Tribolium castaneum: one gene and its partner. The protein of the gene in region 2 interacts with the protein of the main gene of each other region in a biochemical or structural test. Links are inferred from orthologs where the notes say so. Each region holds a gene or a part of one and is shown on either strand. Other genes may lie near its edges. The genes, in order: PolH and PolI.

Region 1 (11,812 bases), on a different chromosome or scaffold from region 2:
ACGTCAACATAATATTTTTTTAATGACATGCTATTTTTTGTGCTCATCAGAATGCCTTTCAAGCTTCTTACATGTCCCTAAAGGTTTTTTTTATCGATTCAAGAAATAAAAACCAAAAAAATCGGTTTTACACTTTTTGTATTAAAAATTAATAAAAATAAAAAAAATTAAATGACAACCCTTGTTCATTTTTATATCATTCGATGCAGAATTAAAACAGGATCATTTTTTCTTATCACAACCCTAACGGAAATCGTCACACATTCGGAGTTATTTGCCAAAAACTTGTTTTGTCAACTATTTTACTGACAAATTTAATCAATAAAAGTCGAAAATGGCTCAATATTGTTTAATTAACATTAATTTATTGTAACGACATTGAAAAGCCTACCTTTAGGAATAATTTATGCTTAAATTTATCAGCAGTTAATCTTAATTACAGTTTTGTAGATTTACCAAAGTACTACATGATTTTTTCAGTAGAAAAATTTACACTCTTTTTTAATTTATTGGTTTTGTGCCCAACATATGTTCGCTACGATTCATTACTTGAACACGCAGTGGTTTAATAGCATTTTGTAATGAAAAATTAAATCTTTTCACTTTTTATCCACTTTCAAATTCCAACAAAAACATTTTATAACCACGAAAAATCGCATAACCAAAGGCAACGCTAGTATTTACCACCACATACTTTTAAAGTGACTCTCTGTAATGTAAGAAATTAATTGCAAAATAATTCATGAAACGAGGAATTAAGAAAATTTCGTCACCAAAGGGCGTCTGGTTAATTTTGTTCCCCAATTGCAGGACATGCTCCCGGAGGACACGTGCCAGCTGGCCCACTTGATCGTGCGCTACGTCAAAGACTTCCGCCTGCTCGACAGCCTGCCGTACAGGCGCTCAGAGGGCTACACTGTGAACAGCTTCGTGGGGACGATCCCCAGCACGCAGCCGACGCAGTCCAACATCGACAAGACTCTCTTGCAGAAGATGACGCTCCTGGTGCTGAAGAGCGTGGCCATCACCATCAAGGAGACGCGCTCGGACAGCTCGGACTCCAGCGTGGGGTCGGAGGACTACGACTTCTCGCACGACATGCAGCTGATCGCGCGCTCGATCCGCGACGTGCTCAAGAAGGTGGACGTCTTCATCAAGCTCAGCTTGGAGTTTCACCCCGAAACGCCCTTCTCGAAAATACTCATCCATTTGTTTAGCGATCAAGACGATTACATGATCGAGGCCATGGTTTGTACGCTGGATATTAAGACGGGGATCTCGTACCAGAACGCGTTGGCGCCCGATTTTATCGCGATGCTGAATCCGGTCCACTCGTTTATCGAGTTTTTGAAAATTGTTAGTCATGATTCGGACGTACTATTAGATTATTTAGTCAGTAATGAGACGTGTTTCTTGTTGTATCTGTTGCGGTTCTTGAAGTATACGAGGAGGAATTGGGATGTTTTTGTAAATAGTTGTTACGAGGGCGGAGCGTCGAGGACCAATGAGCTTGATAATACAATGACGGTTTTGATAAGACTTAAAATGCAGATTGATCGACTCGTGTCGAAGGATCTTTTTCCTTATAATATTAACCCCATTTTAAGACTGCTTGAGATTTGCGAGAATCTTTACGAAGGCAACGAGTACAGCTGATAGCTTTAATTTTTATTCGGTTTTTTTATGTGTATATAGTTGAAAGTTTCCGTGATATAGTACAAAACCCTCCCATTTCTTCTAATTTATTTTTTTATACATTTTTCAAACAGGACAGACAACATGTCCAGTTACCACGTATTTTGCATAATTGGCGATTGTGTTTTTGATGAAAAATTTCATTCAACGCATGATAAATATTATTAATTAAAATGAAACGATCGCACAGATAACGAAAGCAAATAGTTTCAAAATAATTAAACTAATGAAATGTTTTAATTGGGGAAATTTCGCAACTGGGCCAATTATAATTATGAAATTGTTAGTGTTACCCAAAAAACATGTGTCCCTAATCTTACAGATGACAAAAAATCACAAAAGCCACTGTTTTTTTAATAACTACCATATTTTTTCTAATTAACTAGCGTAAAACAATTTAATGCTAGTTGCAAAACAGTCACTTTATAATTGGTTTTCTCTTTTAATTTCTGGGTTTTCTTGAGATTCAATTTGTCACTAGGGTCCAATCTAACAGAGAATCACACGAAAATACAGCAAGTTTAAGGTTGATAAAAATAGTTATTAATGACACAGTTAAAGATTAGATCTCTCATTGAAATTGTAAATAAAATTAGCTATTGATTTTTTTCAAGTGATTAAATAATTTATAACAACTAATTTTGAGAGAAAAAGCGACGTTGACATTTCCATAATTTTGAAACAGCTAGTTTGAGTTCAAAGTTACCAATAGTCCCATAATAAGGAAATTCGGCCAAAAATTTTAGTCGAATAGACAAGAGAGTATTAAATAATTCCAATTTATTGCTTCACTTTTATTCAGTTTACAGCTGCTAATACAATAAAATTAATTTAAAAAAAAATCTAGTTTTGTTTGTTTTCTTGGAAAGACGATTTACAAAATAACGCAAATTCATCTTTTAGACCAAAATTAGGTATTTGTGTACGAAATTGCCATGTTGCCAGAGTGTCAATTGAAAAAGTCCCGAGATATATCCGTAGTTTTACCAGCGACATATTGTATTTCCAAATTTTCCATTTGCATTTATTGAGCAAAAAACTCGTTTGTTTTTATGTACATATTTAGGAAAAAAGTATGAATCACTAGGAAATTCCTGAAACGTTATCTTGAACAAACACTCAACGTTACATATTTGCATTTCTTATTTTGCACCCATGAATTATTTGTTTTGGATGATAAAACCTTATTTTTGTTAGGGCATATGTTAATAAATCAATGTTTATCAGCATTAAAAATTCAATGACCCTTTGGACAAGTTGTGGAATTTAATTTTCTTCCCCCGAGTGTCAATATATCGGACAAAATACGTCTACACTGGACATGTCGAACGATGGAAGTAAAAAAAAACACAAATTAAAAAATTCAACTTCGGTTCGGTTTTCCCAGACTGATAAGTCGTTCATAGTCTAAGAGTGCGTTTGTATTATCTAACACTTGTTAAAATAGAATTGAAAAGTCTGTAATTAACTTATTTCCTTTATTTATTCTTTCGAATAGGTTTATGTAACAAATGTAAATTGTAGTTACCTTATTTAAGTTTTAACAGTGTAACTAATCGCCCACTTACAATTTGCAATATTAAGAGTAAGTCGCCTTGTATTATTTTCCATAGTTCAAATTATATGCGCCGTGATGAGAACTTGTGCCCATAATAATGTAAAAAACAAGATGTAATAATTTAATGACTTTATTATTTAATTTCTAACTTATATAAATAAAAGTAACGATTGGCAGGCTCATGAGGTCCTTCAGAGGAGTTAAAAAAGTAGTTGTATGTATATAAGGTATTGATTATAATACTTTAATATTTTTAAAATTGTACATAATGTACTAATGTATTTTTTTACCCAATACAAAACGTTTTAATAACAACTGTATATTTCACTGTTAGGTCATCGGAAAAGTCGTCAGGTAGGTAGTTACGTTTACTTGATACAAATGAACTGATAAATCGGTGATAAATATAGAACAATCTAATTATCATAATCTTCATCAATACACAGAGTGTCTTCAGTGTTCTGATTGTAATAATGGTGTGAAATAGGTATAAGAGGCGGGATATTGTCGCAGTTGACTGGCGGCGTATTTTCTTGGACACTATTAGCGGGCCCCCTTGTTGGTACTAAAGGGGGCACAGGTACGGGTTCCGCCACCGAAATGCGCACTTTGGGTCCTTCCTTCGCCGGCTCGATCAAATTATTAACTGAGAAATTGAACTTTTTCGTCTCTACTTGCGCTACTTTAGGTCCATACTGGATAACTGGTGTTCTAGCCGTGGACGTACTCTGCTCTGTGTAAAAATTCGCCGTTACTTCCGGCTTCGAAGCCTCCACTGCTGCCGCAGGCTCCTGTTTTGACTCGGCCTCCTGCAGCTGTTGCGCTTCGAACATCAGGTTGTTTTTGTTATCTTCTTGTGCACTTGCATCAGGGATATTTTTCACTAAGTCTTTTAAAAAGTCGAAACGACTCTCGGATAATATACATTGCTTCATGTGGGACGGAGTTAAAGTCTTGGCGTTGCGGGACTGCGTTATTTGCATTGACTTCGTCAGCAGCGACTCCACAAACAACTCCAGCGTTCGGGGTAAGCAGCGTTAAGGAAATATTACTAAAGTGAAACCTCAGACTTGTTTTCATTTTACGATCACCACTGAGCTGATAAAATTATATCTGTATTTTTTATTGCAATAGTGGCTACGATAAGAGAGTCAAAAAAAAAATACTTTTGTGAAGCCCTAACAGTGCGTGCGAGACAAACGCAATTAACTGCTTTGCACAAACGTGAAACACTCGCTTAAATTAAATAATAAACAGTCAAATAATTAAAAGGATATAGATTATAACTGGTACAGCTTGTGCCACTTTTCCAACCTCTTCATCAGTCTGCATTATTTTTTTAATACGGCCCTGAAAATCCCCCAATTAAATAAGGAATTTCCAAAATTTGGAACGACTTACTGCTGGAAATCTGGCATTGTATTTTTTCTTTTTTGAAGGCATATCTAAAAATCTTTGATTTCGTTTCAATTTGTCAACAATCACTTTCTGAAAAATGACAGTTTGAGGTTATATGTTGTTAGGGATTTTTTGCACACTTGTCAAAATAATTGTCACTTGTCATTTTTTCCTGAAATGGTGGGAAACAAAAAATGAAAATAATTTCACAATTTCTTGAATAAATAAGTAATTCAACCGTTCATTCCACTTGCAATTACTTATTCAATTGTTAAGATCAAGATTGGGACAGTTTTTAATTTGTTGTGTGGAATGGGGCCCACGGACCGTGTTGTGGTTCTGGTGGACATGGATTGTTTCTATTGCCAGGTTGAGGAGAAGTTGAACCCGGCCTTGGAGGGCAAACCGATCGCCGTGGTCCAATATAATGCATGGCAAGGGGGCGGGTAAGTGGGCATTAAACTTTGGTCTCAACTTGTTTCTCTCAGCATTATAGCTGTTAATTATCCGGCTCGTGACGAGGGGGTTACGAGACACATGAGGGGCTTTGAGGCTAAGAAGAAGTGCCCGAGTATTAATTTGGTGCAGGTTCCAGAACTAAGAGGAAAAGCTGACTTAACCAAGTAAGTGGTGTCACATGCTTTTGTAACCAGGTTTGTGAAAAAATTGTTATTTTTAAGTGACACACAACCACAAAAAATAAAACCTTATGCTACTAAATGCTTATTTTTATTAATACTTTTTAGTATTATGAAAATTACATTATTAATTATAAGTGGTTTATATTAAAAAAAATTGTAGATATCGAGATGCGGGAAAAAGGGTTGCGGATGTTTTGCTGACTTTTACACCTCTGCTTCAACGTGCTTCAGTTGACGAGGCCTACCTTGATATCACGGAAATTGTAGAAAAACGGATTGAAAAAGGCCTGGATGATTTAACTTTAATTAATCTAAGTAACACTTTTGTTGTGGGTTGCGAACTGGAAGATTTTCTTCATAATGCTATTACTAACAAGGAATATTCCATTCCCAATTTAAAACTGGCAGTTGGAGGTCTTGTGACTGAAGAAATTCGACGCGAAGTTTTCAAAGTTACTGGTATTAAGTTACTGTACCAAATTTTTGATTTTATTTATTGATGATTTAGGATACAAGTGTTCTGCAGGCATTGCTCACAATAAAATCTTGGCAAAACTAGTCTGCAGCTTGCACAAGCCCAACAAACAAACCATTCTGCCCCAGGAAGAGGTTGAGAAATTTTTTGAAACCACCCCAATTAATAAAGTGAAGAATTTGGGGGGGAAATTCGGGCAGACTCTCTCGGAGGATTTTCACGTTACAACAATGGGCCAATTAGCCAAAATTCCAGAGAAGCTTTTGGTGCAAAAATATGACGAAAAAACTGGGTATCTATGACGCAAAAATGTCTAATTTAAACTTAAAACTTAAACTAAACAATATTTTAGCAACTGGTTACATAATATTGCCCGAGGTATTGATATGGAACCTGTCACTACAAAATTAATCGCAAAATCCATCGCTTGTTGCAAAAATTTCCCGGGAAAAACTGCGCTTGTAACGGAGGAAAACGTGCAACACTGGCTGGGGAAACTAGCGGCGGAAATGTCGGAACGGCTGGATAAAGACTTGAAGGAAAATAACCGAAGAGCCAAGCAAATTATTGTGAGCTTTGCACAGGAAGTGAACAAGAAGGACGTTCACAGCACGAGGACACATCCCTTGGTGTCGTACAACGAACAGAAAATAGCTCAGGCGGCTTTTGAAGTGGTTAAGAGGTTTTGTCGCAAGTCTGACGGCACTTACCATTTGAAGTTTTTGGGGCTGAATGCTTCCAGTTTTGACGATATTAAGAACGTTCGGCAAATCACTTCCTTTTTCCAAGTTGGACCAAACCAACCAAAAAAATCGCTGGAGAAAAAACCGGAAGTTGGAGAGCAGAGCGTTTACGACCAACCAACGCAAGAGTTAGAGGAGGACAGCAGTAACCTGATCTTTTACGACGATTCATACCGAGTTAGAGATAATAATGAAAATGAACTGGAAAGTACAGAGTGTTCAAATATCGAAAATGTTGAAGAGCTGGACAGACCCACGTCTTCGTTTTTTGTCAAGTTTTTCGATAATGATAGCAATGAAAACGAGCAGGAAGAACAAGACAACATTGAAGAAAATAATGACTCTGAAATGAGCGTTGAAGAAGAAACTGAACTGTGTAGCGAATGCAAAAAGAGAATACCAATCTCTGAATTAATGTCTCATCAAGATTATCACTTTGCATTAAACCTCTCACGAAGTGAAAACGTTCCTCCCAATTCAAACGTTAAGACTCCTCCAGTCGTTAAAAAATCTCTCGATTCTATGAAAAAAACTCGAAAACGGAAAGAAATTGATTGTGGTAATAATAGCATAAGGACATTTTTTGCAAAGCAGGAAGAACCAACAGGTCCTACGGAGACGTGCACAGAGTGCAATAGAAAAATCAAAGTTGAGGAAATGACCAGTCACATGGATTACCACACGGCTAAAAAAATCCATTTAGAATTAAATGCCATTAAAACGGTTAAACCTGTGACCAAACAGTCAAAGGCAAAATCAGGGAAAACCAAAAATCAAAGTGCTAATAAAAGTGTTGTTTCGTTTTTTAAGCCGTTAGGGTAATTTTTTACTTGATTTCAAGTGGAAAGACGAAATTTTTGGCGAGATGCGAGATTATTTCAGTTGATTTGAAAGTCAGCATCACCAACATCATTTTGAAGTCATAGAAGTGTGCAACAATTTTATCATTGTGTTTAGTTATGAATTATTGAATTTTAACAATGAATAAGCTTTGTATAAAATTATTGTAAAACGTAGTATTTATTTTTATTAATTGTATACCTTCTATGTGACGTGTTAATTTCAAATTTTAATAAAAAAATCTAATGTTGAATTCTTTGTTTTCTTTAAACTTCCCTCAATCTTTAAATTTTAACTTATTGAATACTGGTGAGTAGTTTTCTGTATTAACTTGCATTTTTGTTTGTGGCGTCATCTCGGTACCAAGTGCTTAAGTAAAACCTTACAGGAATCTACGAAACTTGCAGTGCCATCTATGCATGGTACTCCTAAAGAGTCGATTAGGCTTACTGCAATTTTTACCAACATTAAAAAAAATGATAAAAATTCAGTTATCAATTTCAAAAAACGAATAAAAATTTTATCAAGTGCGATTTACAAAATGCGAAATATCTCCGTTCCTGTAGGAGATAGAGGGGTGGTTCTGCCCTTTTGAAAACCCTACCGCCCCGTAGTCCTTTTTCTGGGCTATCGAATAGGCAAGGTCCCGTTCCCGTATCTCCCTCAGGAACCGAGATAGCATTGCACATTTTTAAATCGGGAATCGAAGTACATGACGTAATAGTGCTTCAAACGTTATGTATGCATGCAAAATTTCAAGTTGTTACGACAAGAGGAAGTGCCTCAAATTTCAGTTCAAAATTTTATAATTTCGAAAGACAACAAACAAAGCAAGTTGAATAAAAACTTTAATAAAAAACTTCAGTTTTTTTGTTAAAAGTCTTTATTAATGCGATTTATTTGGAAACATATTTTGCGAGTTAATTTTGGGGCACTTCCTGTTGTCGTAGCAACTTCAAATTTTGCATGCACACGTAACTTTTGGAGCACTATTACGTCATGTACTGCGATTCTCGATTTAAAAATGTACAGTGTTATCTCGGTTCCTGAGGGAGAAACGGGAACGGGACCTAGCCTATTCGATAGCCCAGGAAAAATACTACGGGGCGCTGGGGTTTTCAAAAGGGCAGAACTACCCCTCTATCTCCTACAGGAACGGAGATATTTCTCATTTTGTGAATTGCAGATTTTCTTCAATTTTTACAAAAATTTTTAAGAGTGCGAGAAAATTTTTGTTGGAGTGAAACAATTTCGCAAAATTTAGAAATGGATTTCGTATCAGGATCATAGGAACGCAAAGAGGTCAAGAAATTTTTAGCGGCGTTTGCATGCAACCAGTTATACACATACGTGTATTTTGAGTTATATATTTTTTTTCATTACCCTTTTGCATTCCTGTGATCCTGATACGAAATCCATTTTTAAAATTTTGCAGATTTTCACCCAAAATTTCTTTCACTTATCAAAATTTTTATAAAAATTGAACAAAATCTGCGATTCACAAAATGCGAAATATCTCCGTTCCTGTTGGAAATAGAGGGGTGGTTCTGCCCTTTTAAAACCCCTACCGCCCCGTAGTATTTTTCCCGGGCTATCGAATAGGCTAGGTCCCGTTCCCGTATCTCCCTCAGGAACCGAGATAGCACTGCACATTTTTAAATCGGGAATCGAAGTACATGACGTAATAGTGCTTCAAAAGTTATGTAAGCATGCAAAATTTCAAGTCGCTACGACAACAGAAAGTGTCCCATATTTAAGTTCAAAATATTAATAAATCCGAAAGGCAAGAGAAGACACTTTTCTTTAATTTTTACAGGTTATTATTAACTAAAGCTTAGATTAAAAATAAATAGATGGCGCTAAATTTACAGGTTACTTTATATTTTAGCTTTAATTTAAAGCGTATAGATGGCAATTAAAACATTACAGATTACTGTAGCATTGTACTTTTACATCCAACATATAGATGGCAACACTAACAATTTTAATTTACTTTTGGCTTTATTGCATAGATGGCGCATTTAATTTTTACCTTTTTTTGAATTTACTAGCTTTAGGAAGTGAGTTCTTCAGTTCTAGAAACTGTTTTGGATGAAAATGGAAATACTATAAAATCAAACTTCAATATCGATTCAGTACTTTTATTAAATATTTAAATACATTAGCAATCTTTCAAGTGTTAGTGCTAGTTTCAAATAACTGCAAATAATGATACAGCACAATTTTTAATAGTGATTCCTGCCTCCCCTGTTGTAATTCGAGTGTCCTCTGCCTCTCCCTCTGTAATTCCCCCTCCCGTGATACTGCTGATTATGCTGTTCCTCTTGCACATACTGATCAGCATAAGTCGTTCTATTTTGTTGAAAGGAATCGTAAGTTTTCGGCCTTTTCGAATTTTGTTCATAGCTCGTGGAGTAACTACCTGCACTATCAAAATTCCTATTATCGTAACTACTTTTATTATCGTTATAACTGCCTTGGCCGCCGCCGTAACTCCCCTGTCTCTCGTTATTATAACCAGGGTTGTTATAACCACCACCGTAACTTCCAGCACTGTCATAACTGCGCCCCTGGTTATAATTGTCGTAACCGCGACCGCCGCTTTTATAATTATCATAACCACCTTGATTACCAGAGTAACTTCCACCGTAACTCCCCGAATCTCTTGAATAGTTCTGTCTGTTGTCGTTACGGGAAAAGTTACCGCCGCCTCTTCCTCGACCGCCCCCCGAGGGCCCCGGCGTGCGCTGCTGCCAAGAGGGCATCTCCGGAGGGGGCGGCGCTTGCTCAGAGGTTCGGCCTCCACGATCAGGAACCTAAAAGTTTTCTTTGGTGTTTTTTTCTTAAACAAAATCATGGTTTTACCTGTCCAATAATGACTTTATTTAGTGACGATTTTGTGTTTTTGCGCACAGACGAGTTACTTGTCTTTTCGATAATTGCAATGTCGTCTCGTGCGGCTAATAAATCAGCAAGTTCAACTTCCGGTTCCGTTTTCAGGCGTTTCCGCTTTTCGGTGTAAACTTTTTCAAATAACTCATCTTTGCCTTTCGTTTTATCAGACCACTGCAACAACAATTGAATATGAAACTTATGTATAGATTGCAAATGAAATTTGTTTTGAAGTAATAAATAAGAATGGAACAAATGTTAAAATTAGTGCCCACCTGAAAAGACTGAATCGTAACATCCAGCCTTGTTAGCAACATCTCTCTTCTAATTTTATATTCATTGTTCAAATCCTTCTGAACCCCATTTAGTGTTTCCCACTGCTTATCAGAAAGTGTTCCTTGAAACGCAGGCTTTCCAACTAATTCACTTCCAACTTTTTGAACAATACTTTGCACAGTTGGGCAAACTTTTTGGAATAACTGTGGAATAGTAATGTTTGGGGGCGGTTTATGAAACCTCAGAGTCATTAATATCTTCCTCATATTGGCAGCTTCTTCAGTCTCTTGCTGCAAAACTTTATCAACAATTTGAAAATTGCGTTTCGTTTTACTTACCAGTTTTAGCTCAAATTTTTTATCGGGCTTTTTCTCTTGTAGTACTCTTGCGGCCATCAGTTCAGTAGCCAAATAGTCTAAAAGTAATAATTTGTCTTGGTGACTTTCCAGACGGTCTGAAATATGGCCCTGTGTTAAGGCAACGTAGGGGCAGTCTGTAACCATTAAATGTGAAAAAATTGGCAAAATACAACAAAACCACCGCACTCAATTCTTTCAGAAAAGAACTAACTTCCATAACAAACGATACTGAATCTTCAGGGCCTGATATTGGATTGACTTCCTCATCGATATTAAGCAATGCGCGTAGCTCGTTTGTTAAAAAACTGACTAGCTTGGTGAATTCCACGTTTTTTGCTCCCTCCTGCAGGGCAGAATCAAAACTAGCCTTCTCGAGAAGGGGGCCACAATAACTGCAATGCAAGTTAGACCTGGAAATTTTTGGTTGGGAAATAATTACCCCAGGTCCTTCAGTCCGTCTAAGAGTTTCTGTTCCATTGTATTAATTAATACTATGTCTTACTTTTGCACTAATATAGAGATTGAAGCCGGTTATTGAATTTCTAACCAATTTGCGAAAATGTCAAGTGGTCAAGCTGTCAAATATCGCAACGTAAAATAACGCAACATTTTTTACTTTTTTTTTTTTGAAAATTTTTATTATGGGGAAAACGTTTAAAAAACTCAATTTGCGTTGTAGCGAAGTAGTTGTTAAAAATTAAATATGCTAGGAAATTCACAAAATTGAGAATTACAGTGAGGTATTAACGTAACGTAATACGAAATGTCAAAACGTAACGTAAGTCGCAACGTGTTTTGTGGGGGCCCCGATGACTTGTTTTATTTTATTTGAACAACACGATAAGATTATAGATTATTAGATTTAATATTATATATTAAAGTCGCACATTTATATGTTTTTAAGAAACACCACTTAAAACACCCAAAAAATTTAA
Region 2 (11,861 bases):
GGTAAAAAATTAAATATTTTTATTAAAACGCTTGTTAATTTAATTAACATACGGATGGCACCAGTAGGGTAGTCGTCACTTTGACTTCAAACTCGTCCACAGTTTCGTTAAATTTAAAACTGGAGGTCCTTACACCCTCCTCTGTTTCCAAAGAAACATCTATTGTCCCTGAAATCGCCGCGATTTCGCCTGCATTTAAGTACACAGAAAGGGGAACAGACCAGAAATCATCGTCTGGATTTTTCAACGGTGTTGCCACCAAATATTCAATAAAAGCGTCATCGAAACCGATTATTTCAGTCAAACCCCTATTAAAAAATTGTATTTGGTTTTTTCGCTCCACGATTGGTAATACCATATTCCCACAGAGGCAAAAGCGGGGCCCCAGTCCCACGCGAACGAAGCTTGCTGTTTTCTGATACGATTAACGTAGCAAATGCCTTTGTACTCGGGAACAGGGCATTCGGGCGGGATTACGTATTCGTTGCTTGGGTCCTTGGCCAAGGCTTCGGCCGTGGCGACCGCAGAGGCGAACTGAACCGAAATTTCATTCGCACCCACCTATGACTTTCATTACAAAAAAGCACGCTTTTAAATTAAATCTACTTGAAGCTGGTCTCTAATGTTGAAATTGTAGCGAACAAACATGTTCTCGCTCGTCCCCACTTCGTGTCCATTGACCGAAACAGTCGCAAATGTGTCCAAACCCTCAAAAACCACTAAGACAACTCGACTGTTTAGCAATTCTTCGCTGACTGTAATTGTAAGTTGTTAATACGGTTAATTGGTTTGGGCACAACCTGTGAATGTTGTGCTGTAAGTCCAGTTGGTTAGGCCCACCCAACTGTAATTTGAGTCCCCAGTACCGTAGAAAATATCCCCAATTGTGCCACTTTCCATGAGGGCGGAAAATATGCCGCCGGGAACATAGGCATCAATAGTTAAAGTTTCTACGGATAATTAATTCGAATCGAATTGATTGATTGGTTAAGTGGCGTACCGTTGGGCCCCCCTGTCACTTTCCATTGGCCGTTGAGGCCTTGCCGAATCACCCCATTGGCCAAACCGGCCAATATTAACACAGAAAACTTTGTCCAAATTAACACCATGGTGACGCAGTAAGTTACTGTGCCACTTGTAGAGATAAAAGATGAGTAGTTTTATAAAAATGATATATTTTCAACGAGATAAGAAAACATAATATTCATTAGAGTAATACAAAAATATTTTAACACTAGTAACTTTATAACTGACTCTAGGAGAATGTTAGATAAATATAAACTACAAGTATGATAACACAAAATATTTACAGTCATCTCGGTTTCAATTCAATTCAGCCGATGCAAAGTTAGACCAGATGACTAATTTTATTTGAATGGCTTAAGTATGACACTTTTGTAACAATGTTCAATATCACATTTCACATGTCTAACACTTCCGACGCTATACACTGCCTCACATGAACCTCGTACTCGGAGTTTGCAGGAAAATTCTTGTTGCAGATGTTGCACTGCAAAGCTTTTGCCTCAGATGTGGGAACGAGATTTTCAACAATGTCGTCTTCAATACCACACGTGGAGGCGTGATTCTTAATAAAATAAAAACAATAATTATTTATATTATTATTTATAATATTTATGTCTCGGGAGGTGGTGCACATATTTTAACGATAAATTATGCATTAAAAATAAACTTATCCTTATAATAAAAAAAAATAAAGATCATTTTTTATTTTTAAAGAAGTAAAATGTAAAAATATGCAGGAGGTAACAGCACAAACATCACAGTATTTTTAAACGAAACGATTTTGAATTTAAACCTGTCGAAAACGCAAATATTATTATTATTATTATTATCTTAGGAGTGCCAATAAACCAGATGAAAAAAAAGACTACCAGTCACCTTAAATGTTTTTGTTTTTGTGCGTAAAGTGTGGTATGAGAAAGCAAATTTAGCTTCAAATATAAAAATATGGATAATAATTTTTTAGAATTATTTTGACATGTGGATTTACGATTCCCTGTGGTCCCCATCTTTTAAGAAAGTAAATGAAAGCACTTTAATAAGTAGGAGAAATGTTCTATGTATTATTTTTCTGCAAAAGCTTTTTTGTGGTGATATTATCAGCTCTGATCTTCTGGATCAAGTGAACATTGTAGTACCTAGAGCTAACAACCGAAATCCTCCTACATTTTATTTTTCCACCTATAATACCTTTCATCTGAATTCTCCACTTTTTAAATGTTTTAAATTATATAATAATATTACAATAGATTTAGATATTTTCTTCAATAATTTCAAAACTAAAACTGTAAAGGTCAAGCTTCTAGAATATTTTTCTTCGTAATTTATAATGTTTTGTATAATTTAATTGTCTCAAATATGCTCTTTTTTTGTATATTGTATTGTTACTTGTCCACGTTAGACTAATAAGTCTGTTGGAAATAAATTATATTATTATTATCTTACACCCTGTATATCGTTCTTAAAAAATACAAATACCTATAAAAAAATTAGCTTTCAATGATATCTAGCTTTGCACAAGATGATAGTTTTGGAAATTAGATAAATAATTATAAATAATAAATTCCAACAGTTACCTCAATTTGACTCTGTGGGAATTCCGCGTTACAAATGGGACAACTAATTTTTTCTTCTGGTGGTTTTTCAACTTTTGCGGGAGTTCTGGTTCTCGGTGCACTTTTCGGAAGGTTTGCGCTCGCTCTTTCTGCAACAACTTCTGTAATTGCGTCAGGATCTGAAAAACAGCTTTAAACGTTGTCCACTTGTAACACAACCGCACCTTCTTGTTTGTTGGCTTTTTTCGGCCTCTTGTTTTTTTTACCCGGAACTGGGGGAGGCACCCTCCTCCTCAAAAAGTTCTGTTCGTTATCTTTGACTGGACTCGTCTCAATTACGTAGTCTTCAGAGTTGTCCTCCAAAGATGGGAGCGTTCTTTCAAAATTCTCCATTTCTGCTTCTTGCTGCTTCCTTTTCTCCTCACCTTGTATAAACTTGTCAAACATCGCCTCAGACCTGCTGGTGGGCTTTTTGGCGCTTATGGATAAATTTTTTCGTGGTATTTTCGGCTTTGTGGATTTGCAGGTAGCAGGGGTCTTTTCTTCAGTGAGATCTTCTTCAGGAACGTAAGGAAGGTCTAATGTAATTTTTGTACTTGAGTCTCCAAATTCCGCTTTGTTTTTCTTTACAATGCTGGCAAAGTCAGGGTCGCTGTCTACATCCTCCTGCTCTGTGTAAATTTTTCGTTTAACCTGGCGGCCTGAGCGGCTAACGTATAGATTTTCAACTGGAATTTGATCCACTAGGTCATCAAAGCTGCCACCGCTTGGGATTCCATTGCTGGTTTCAGGCAGCTTGTAATTGCTTGATGGATGAATGGGGGAAGGCAGAGGGGCCCTTATGAGAGACTCTTTTGCTAATTTCGCGATGCACTTATTAATCTGTGTAAACGACTCTGATAGTAATTTTCTGCGCAGCGAGATGGAGTACTTCTTAAATTTGGGGTTTGTGGGAATTGGGAGGGAAAAGACAGGGTCGTGGTGAATGATTTGCAGAAACCCTTTATGCAGATTGGGTTTTTTTGGAGAAGACCGCAGAGTTCGCGTGACTCTGTTTCCCTTCGAAACTTCAACTGCGTCATCAGACTTTTCGATTTTCTTATAAAAGTTCCTTATGTCCACGGTTTGTCGGTCAAACTCTCGGTTGAATTTCTCTTCTTTTGCTGTTTCTTTCGACCTGTTAATCGCTTCTTGCAGCTCCCTAAATTCCTTCCCGTGATCTGACTCTGCGACTAGTGAACATTTTAAAATGGAAACATTAAACTGAACAATTTGAACCTTTAAGGAACTCCTTAAAATTATTTTGAAACGCCATTGTTTGACTACAATAATAACACAACAATTGCCAAAGTTAAATGTAAATTTCAATTATTTTCGAACACAAAAACACAGACGCACTCATTTTTTCAGGTTAAGTTCAATTTTGACATTTGACATTAATTTTGGCGGGAAGCTTTCAGAAATTAATCAATGTCGAAAATTTTCATTTTTCATCAGTAAAAACAGTGTGCTAGAATGTGGCCGCTTATTTTTAAAAATTAATTTAGATTTTTATCAAACTTCGTTTGTTTAAAATTGACTTTACTTGTAATTATTTCTTTTATTTTAGCACCAACAGTCTGAAATTCTCTGTAAAGTGTACGAAACAACTCGTGAAGCATAATTTAACTCAAAATAGGCTAAAGTAGTACTCTTCCAATTGGTGTCTCTTAAAGAAATCGTAGTTAAAGTGAACCAAGTAGTCGCTCCTATGCAAGTACGTAATGTTGGTTGCATATTACTTCAATTTAAAATTTTTAAAATAAAAAACGGCACAAACAACTAGCCTGAAGCTTATTCACGGAGTCGTTTGTTCCTTACTCGTCGCCTCACGGCTCGTAAACAAATTTCAGAAATAAAACAATGATAAATTGATAAATCATTCAAATTCTTGGCCAAATTTGGTCCCACCTTTCTACTTGCACTTGCACATTGTAGTGCAAAAATCTGGAACGCCGATTCGCCTGTTTAAATTTAGCGCTACGAAATCGCTGACTGTGATTGGTGCAAAAAAATTTCTTTTGAACTTAGCAATGGAGACATTTTATTACTGAGTAAAGTTTTGTAGTTTAACCGTTAGTTTTGTAGTTTTGTGTTTTATAGATTCGTTCAAATTGTTACTAGTTTAGTGTTTAAGTGCTTCATCTTTGCAGCTTCGAGGTGTGTATTTTTATTAAAACACAGTAGGTAACTGACAGAAATTTAAAATTCACTAGAATCGAAAATGAAAAGGGCCCGAGAAGATGATGAATATGACGATTTTTGCAACGGTTTGCAGTTCAGCGACGGCAATAGCGCTTCGCCTTCGCCTAGACATCGAATTAAGCGCCCCAAAGTGAACCCCAACTACGAGACAATCAAGTTTCACTTTGGTGCCTCGTCCGTTACTTACAAGACCATACAACACACCGACCCGGCGTTCAAAAAGATTAAAGATTTAATAGATATTAAGTCACTGATGATCGAAGACCTCATTGAAGTCAACAATCCGGTCCTCGATATCGCGTATGAGATGAAAAAGTGTGAGAAAAAGCACACGTTTGGGAACGTCAATGAAGCTCTGCTGTTCCATGGGACTAGAAGGGAGAACGTGGAAAGCATCTGCACCTATAATTTCGACTGGAGGCTCTTTGGGAGTAACAGGGGCCACAAATTTGGAAAAGGGGTGAATTTCTCCCCAAGCGCCAAATACGCAAGCAACTACTCGGACCCCCACAGTTACCACAAAATTATGATCGTTGCCAAAGTGCTGATAGGCAACGTCTGCCAAGGGGACCAAGACATGTCGCTGCCGCCTCCAGGCTATGACACAAGCCAGAAGGACCAAAGAGCGAGCGTTATCGTAAAGTATGAGGATAATGAATTCTACCCATATTACATTCTCCATTACCATTTGCGTGAAAAACACAGAAACAACAATCATTATCGTTATGATTGTAACTACATAAATCGTTATGATCGTTACCATGTGGAGAGAAGACGTTATAACACTCATTACAACTATTACCGGGATCGTTATGGCCCTGGTTATGGTAACTATCGCTACGACAACCATCGCTATGACAACTATCGTTATGACGACTATCGTTATCACAGAAATGATCACTATGGTGATCGTTATGATGGTGCTAAAACCAGGCATTTTTAAGTTTTTTCTGATGTTTGTTAACTTCGTTCTAGTAATATAACCAAAGCAATAGTTTTAATGTTGAAACTTATTTATGTTCCAAAATACGCAGCAGTATTATTGCAAGCATTCCAGTTTCAATTGCAATTTGTTTATTGTGATAAACGAAATAATGCTGTGAAGTAGTTTGATAAGAATAAAATTATTTACTTTGAAAATGTGACACTTACGTTGCTTTTATAAATTTAGTTATAGGCTCAGTAACATTTATCGAAAATTGTAAGTAGTTTTTGCTTGTCTTTGTTGCTTTTTGTATACACTTTTGATTTTATGTCCACGTTTAATTCCTATTAAAATTTTTGGATGAAGGCCTGTTTTATTTTTAATCGTTATAGTCCAGTTTATGGTACATTTAATTATAATTTGTTGTTTTCTATGATATTTAATTTAACCGCTATTAAGTATTAGTCATCAAGAAGTTCATGACCAGGGCGACCAACATTGAAGTGTGATAAAGTAATAAAATACCCGTTGCCCCTGGTCCTAGTACCCGTTTTCAAACATCATTTGCTAAATACCGGAAGGGAGCTTACTTTCTGAGTGAAAATTAAGCCAATTTCTTTAAAAAAATTGAAATTAACTGTGATCTTTTACTGATTGGGTTGGCAGCATTGCAATTTTATATGCGTCTGCAACAATAACCCCTGTGTCTGTGTCCCTGTTTTTTGATTGTGAAACAACGAACAACAGGTCCAATGCCCATTTTCAAAGGTAAATTTGCGTAAATTTGGGCCCCCAAGCCCAAAAGGCCCGCTACAAACCCCAATCTCAAAGTAGATAAGCTGGGGTCAAAGATTGTGTGATGCCAAAATTTGCACCCGAAAGATTATGAGTACCAGCAAATTGAGAATTTAATTACTAACGAGTCAATGTTGACTCTATTTGCCGTTATAACTTCGATTTTCGCTTATTTGGTACCAATAAGGGCCACAGGTATGGCCAAGGTGTGAGCTTCCCAAACGCAAAATATGCCTCGTGTTCTACCGACGATATTTACCATAATGTGATGATTATGGCCAATGTGTTAGTTGCTAATGTTTGTGATGGTGGTGAAAATATGCACTTGCCTCCGCTTGGGTTCGACCCGTGCCAAAAGCCTGGCGGAGTTGTGATCGTCAAGTACGAGGATAACGAGTTTTATCCTGCCTATAATTTATACTATCACATTGGTAAAAACTACGATGGAGATGACTGTTGTGAAATAAAACTTTTCTTAATTGTTGAAATTGTTCAGAAGTTTTTATTTGCTAAGTTTGGGATTGGTAGCCTTGTAATTTTTGAATAAGCCGCCTAATTGGTGCATTGTGATTGGCCAAGTCATCTCAAATGCCAAATCAGTAGAAATAAACATAACCTCACTAAAGTTGCAAGAGTTCTTTTATCAGTATTTAAAAACAATGTCTTTTGAGATGGACCATTCCCGTACTATAATTCACATCGATTTGGACTGTTTTTACGCGCAAGTGGAAATGAACAAAAACCCCAGCCTCCGAACGGTCCCGCTAGGAATACAGCAGAAAAACATTGTCGTCACTAGCAATTACACAGCCCGTGAATTTGGCATAAAAAAGTGCATGTTAATCCCCGAGGCGAAAAAACTGTGCCCTAGCCTCGTGCTAGTCAACGGCGAGGATTTACACGACTATCGCCAGACCTCCTACAAAGTAACCAATCTGTTGCAAAAGTACACCCCTCTGGTGGAACGCCTAGGTCTTGATGAGAATTATCTGGACGTGACGACGCTAATAAACGAGAAATTGAACCAAAAAAGTGATCTCAAGCTTGTGGGAAATGTGTTTGGAGACACAAGTGATAAGTGTGAGTGTGGCTGCACGGAGCGCCTGATCATTGCCACAACAGTGGCTCAGGAAATCCGCGACGTTATTAAATCGGAACTCAACCTCACGTCCTGTGCAGGAATCGCCCATAACAAACTTTTAGCAAAAATTGCAGGAGCGCGCCACAAACCAAACCAACAAACTGTTGTTTTCCCAAATAGTGCGTTAGAATTGATTCTTAGCCTAAACGCACCGAACGATATCCCGGGAATTGGCAGAGCGTTGTTTGAACAATTAAAATGCATAGGGGTTGAAACAATTGAGGAGCTACAAAATGTTGATCTCAAGAGACTTGAAACCGTTTTAGGGCAAGATAAAGCTAAGTTAGTTCATGAGTTAAGTTTGGGTATCGATAAAAGTGGGGTCAAGCCGACGGGGAAGCCCCAAAGCATTGGTTTAGAAGACAGTTGTAGGTCAATTTCTGTAGAAACCGAAGTGAAAATAAAATTAGAACAGTTGTTAAACCGTCTCTTGCTTCTGGTGGAAGAGGATGGGCGTGTCCCCAAAACCATAAAACTAACAGTCCGGAAGTTCAACAAAGACAACAAGATGAGCCACCGAGAGACGCGCCAATGCAACGTCAATCCCTCGATTTTCTCCTCAAACCAACCAAACAAAGAAGCCAAAATCATGACCACGATCATGCACCTTTTCAACCGAATAATCGACGTCAAAAAACCCTACCACATCACATTACTTGGCCTCTCTTTCACGAAGTTCCAGGAGCCCCCGAAAAACACGCTCGCTTCGTTCCTGCGCAAGGACCTTGAAGTCCAGTCAGTGCTGAGTATAGAGAACCAGAACGGTGTCGAAGACGCCGAAAGTCCCGTCCCTTCAACCTCGAAGTTGGCACCAACGGAGGGGGAATCACCCACACCCTCACCGAAAAAACTAAAGTTGACAAATCTCGTGTCGAAGAAGCGCTGTTTTGAGGACTATTACGAAGACTGCGAGAGTCCCTCAAAGTTGAAGGTTGCGGATTTGTGCTTGGATTCGGTGTCGTGCCCCCCTGATGCCGACAAGGAGGTGTTCAAGGAGCTGCCGAAGGAGGTGCAAAAGGAGCTGTGGGAGGATTACAAGAGGAGGAGGGCCAGTGAGATGAATTTTTGCAGCAGTCAAGTGAAGAAAACCAAGCCCAACACGTTGCTTAATTATTTTATCCGGAATAACTGATGGTTTTGTAGATTTTTTTCATTAAATATGTTTTAATAAAAATTGGTTTTTTCTTCCACCCAGTCATTCCTAAATTCCAGATTGTATATTTTCGCGTGGTGGTAGGATGTTAAAAATACACAATTTTTAAAATTATCTGTATTTTATTATTATAAAAAATTCAGTTTTATAATAAGTCATCAATAAAAAATAATCTTCAACAGATTTATATTGGTTTAAAATAATCCGTAATCCGCTTGTTGTTTTTCAATTGCCTGATTGTTTTCGAGTCGTAAATTGAAGCCTTTTGGTTGAAACGTGAGTAAATGCCAGCGCCTGTTTGCTTATCAGTTTTGTATCTGATGACTTCACCTTGAGGCTTTATGCCTGACGTTTCAAAAAAGTCAAGAACACTAATTACATCGTCAAGGTCGGTGTAGTCCTTAGTGTAAAATTATTACAGCGTGAAGAGGTTCAGTATCTGCAGATGTTGAAACTTTTGCGTCCCAAAGATCTCCAATTTTTACAGCTTCTTTTATTTTAGTCCATATCCCATTTACATCTGCTTTTGGTAAAAACAACATCCATTTGCCCACTTTGCAGTAATCATTCACATTTTCTAAACTGTATTTGTTGTTTTTTGCCCACAGCCAGGGGGCTTCACCTTTTGTGACGTCTGTCGGATTCAGAGTGCAATCATTCTTTATTTCCTTTGATGCTACATCACATTTAAAGACAAATTTTGCGTCCATATTTTTTCTAAATCTAAAAAACTTGTTCAAAAATTTTTATTTACTTGGAGGTCTTACGTTTGCGTGCTATTTTATGGGTATTTTACTGGTACTACTGTCAGTAATACCACCACTTCTAAAGTAGTGTCACAACTTTGCCCATGCACTTGTGTATTATTGGTTGCATCATTAAATTTTCGAAAAACACCATTCTTTTAGTGTTTATAATATTGATATTGTAATTATTTCATATATTAGTTACGACCTAGGCTTTGTTTAAATAGTAAATGGCATCAATAATTTCACATTTTAATCCAAAGAACCAGAAATAAAATTATTGTTATCTCGACAAAAGAACGTCAATTGTGAAATGATAACACTTAAAATATTAGAGATAAATATTAGTGAAATGATAACATAGTCCAAACATAACAAACAGAACGTTACAGACTAAGTAGGGGAAATGAAAGCTGGGATATTTTTCTATAAATTTTATTGTGATTCTGCTTTTCACAAACGTTTGTAATAAATTAATCTCAAATACTTTGTATGTAGACATAGTGTTAAAAATTTGCGACATTGCGTTTAGGCATGTATTGATTTTCTGAGATCTATATTTCGTTCTAACGGCGTTTGGGGAACTGGCCCCTCGTCTTCTTCTTCCACATATCGATACATAAGAAATATTGCAGCGCAGCCCACAACCGAGAGAACCCCGCCAACAATTCCTAAAAACTAAAGCCGGCATAAAAATTTAATTTAATTTAAAAATGTGGTTACTCCTGGCACTTTATGCATGGTGGGATTTTCTCTACATTCGATGGTCGTCGACACTGTCATCACCGAACCAATAATTCCAACAAGAGAAAATATTAGATTCAAAATTATGTCCTGCGACAAACTGTTAAAATGTGAATATTAGTACAGAAGCACCTACAGCTGTGACCCACTTTCCTGGATATTTCACTGTGCCCCCGCATGAGAACATCAAATAAAACAGAAACTGTACTCCAACATTACACCCGACACAGACGGGAAAAACGGTAGTGAACCAGTCGGGTCTGTCGTAGCACTGGTCCCAGCTTTGCGCCAAAAACAGGGCCAAAGCTGCTAAACACACGATCTGGGATTTTCTACATAGAGTTAGCCTTTTGAGTAAAGTATTACTTACTATTGCCAGTATTTTTGTCCATCCTGTTTTTGTTAAGAGAAATTTGCCCGGTTCTAGCTTATCTCTAACTAATTCATCGAATGAGGCACTTTTTGGGGCGAATGTGTTCAAAAACTGGGCCTTTTTTTGATTTATTGCCCGTTCCGCCATGGTTTTATTATCATTATTTAATATAGGAGGTAACAACGACTGAGCAGATTTCGTACTATTATGAAGCTGATACCATTATCGGTTTTTTTGTAAGTAATCATAGTGTAGTGTGATCTCTTATTATGATATGTAACAGAGCAGATTGATATCTGACAGTATCTTTATAATCAGCTTTACATAATTTGATTTAAAACTAAAATTGATGACATTCTTAAGAATAAAAAAATAAGAAGAGTACTCTATTTATTAAAATGTTTAAGTTTTTTACCTACTTTACGTGTGTAATTCCGCCTTTTTGGAATACTTATTTTTTTTTAAGTCACATATGTAATGTTATAATAATTTTAAAATAAATATTAAATACCAATCGAGAAATGTTAGTTGTACAAAGTTTTATAGAGTACTACACAGGTGAAACCTAAGTTGTAAATTGTAAATCTATTTCATAATCCATTTTATTGAATACAATAAAACCACACAAAGGTGCAGTTTATTTATGGATTATACATAGAAGCAAAGCGTTTAATTGTTAAAGAAACTCCATCAAATTGAGTGTGGGATTAACTACAAGTAAAATTATAGCCTTGAGTGTATACGATCAGTCAAACTCAATCATTCAAGCTTTCTTTAAACCGGGCCTAAATATTTAAGGATTGCTCTGATCAGTCAAATAATAACTAATTTGTCCAGCAAGAACCACGTGGAGGTTTAGAGCATTCTTGCCAGGAAAAAAGGAAATAAGGATGTGGTAAACAATGATTATTTGAAAATGAAGGGAATGTTTTTTTGAAAAAAAAATGTTTATTTGCATTAAATTTTGAGCAAGCCACTTTCATTCATTGAAATTAAAGACAAAATTATTACGTGGCAATAAATTATTTGAGTGTTTGATTTTATTTTTAGTTACTGTATTAAAAAAGTGTCACTCAAAATATTACTTTTCAACACCGCATTTAAAGATTTTAATTGCAATTACGTTTTATGAAATTATTGATTTGTGAAATAAATAAATAC

Evidence for each region.
Region 1: the proteins of PolI (region 2) and PolH interact in far-western blotting, tested with the Homo sapiens proteins (2 studies listed by BioGRID). The link is inferred for Tribolium castaneum from reciprocal best matches to the Homo sapiens genes POLI and POLH.

Annotation. Positions count from the first base shown.
Region 1 is NC_087394.1:32,790,439-32,802,250, forward strand, and holds PolH (DNA polymerase eta), read left to right. Parts: upstream 1-4,962; 5' UTR 4,963-4,963; coding exon 4,964-5,097; intron 5,098-5,139; coding exon 5,140-5,274; intron 5,275-5,452; coding exon 5,453-5,751; intron 5,752-5,800; coding exon 5,801-6,059; intron 6,060-6,119; coding exon 6,120-7,332; 3' UTR 7,333-7,603; downstream 7,604-11,812. Other genes in the region: lin (protein lines), read left to right, coding at 811-1,656; uncharacterized protein NC2alpha, read right to left, coding at 3,670-4,280, 4,531-4,603, 4,655-4,696; protein FAM98A, read right to left, coding at 9,576-10,166, 10,216-10,416, 10,518-11,011, 11,064-11,269, 11,317-11,354. UniProt on the Homo sapiens protein: DNA polymerase specifically involved in the DNA repair by translesion synthesis (TLS). Due to low processivity on both damaged and normal DNA, cooperates with the heterotetrameric (REV3L, REV7, POLD2 and POLD3) POLZ complex for complete bypass of DNA lesions.
Region 2 is NC_087396.1:11,982,889-11,994,749, reverse strand, and holds PolI (DNA polymerase iota), read left to right. Parts: upstream 1-6,537; 5' UTR 6,538-7,202; coding exon 7,203-8,816; 3' UTR 8,817-8,858; downstream 8,859-11,861. Other genes in the region: beta-mannosidase, read right to left, coding at 53-308, 356-561, 607-755, 801-950, 1,001-1,109; uncharacterized protein LOC103313669, read right to left, coding at 1,421-1,588, 2,601-2,758, 2,804-3,811, 3,858-3,894; protein mono-ADP-ribosyltransferase PARP11, read left to right, coding at 4,843-5,766; uncharacterized protein LOC103313667, read right to left, coding at 10,112-10,261, 10,307-10,417, 10,464-10,649, 10,698-10,847. UniProt on the Homo sapiens protein: Error-prone DNA polymerase specifically involved in DNA repair. Plays an important role in translesion synthesis, where the normal high-fidelity DNA polymerases cannot proceed and DNA synthesis stalls. Favors Hoogsteen base-pairing in the active site.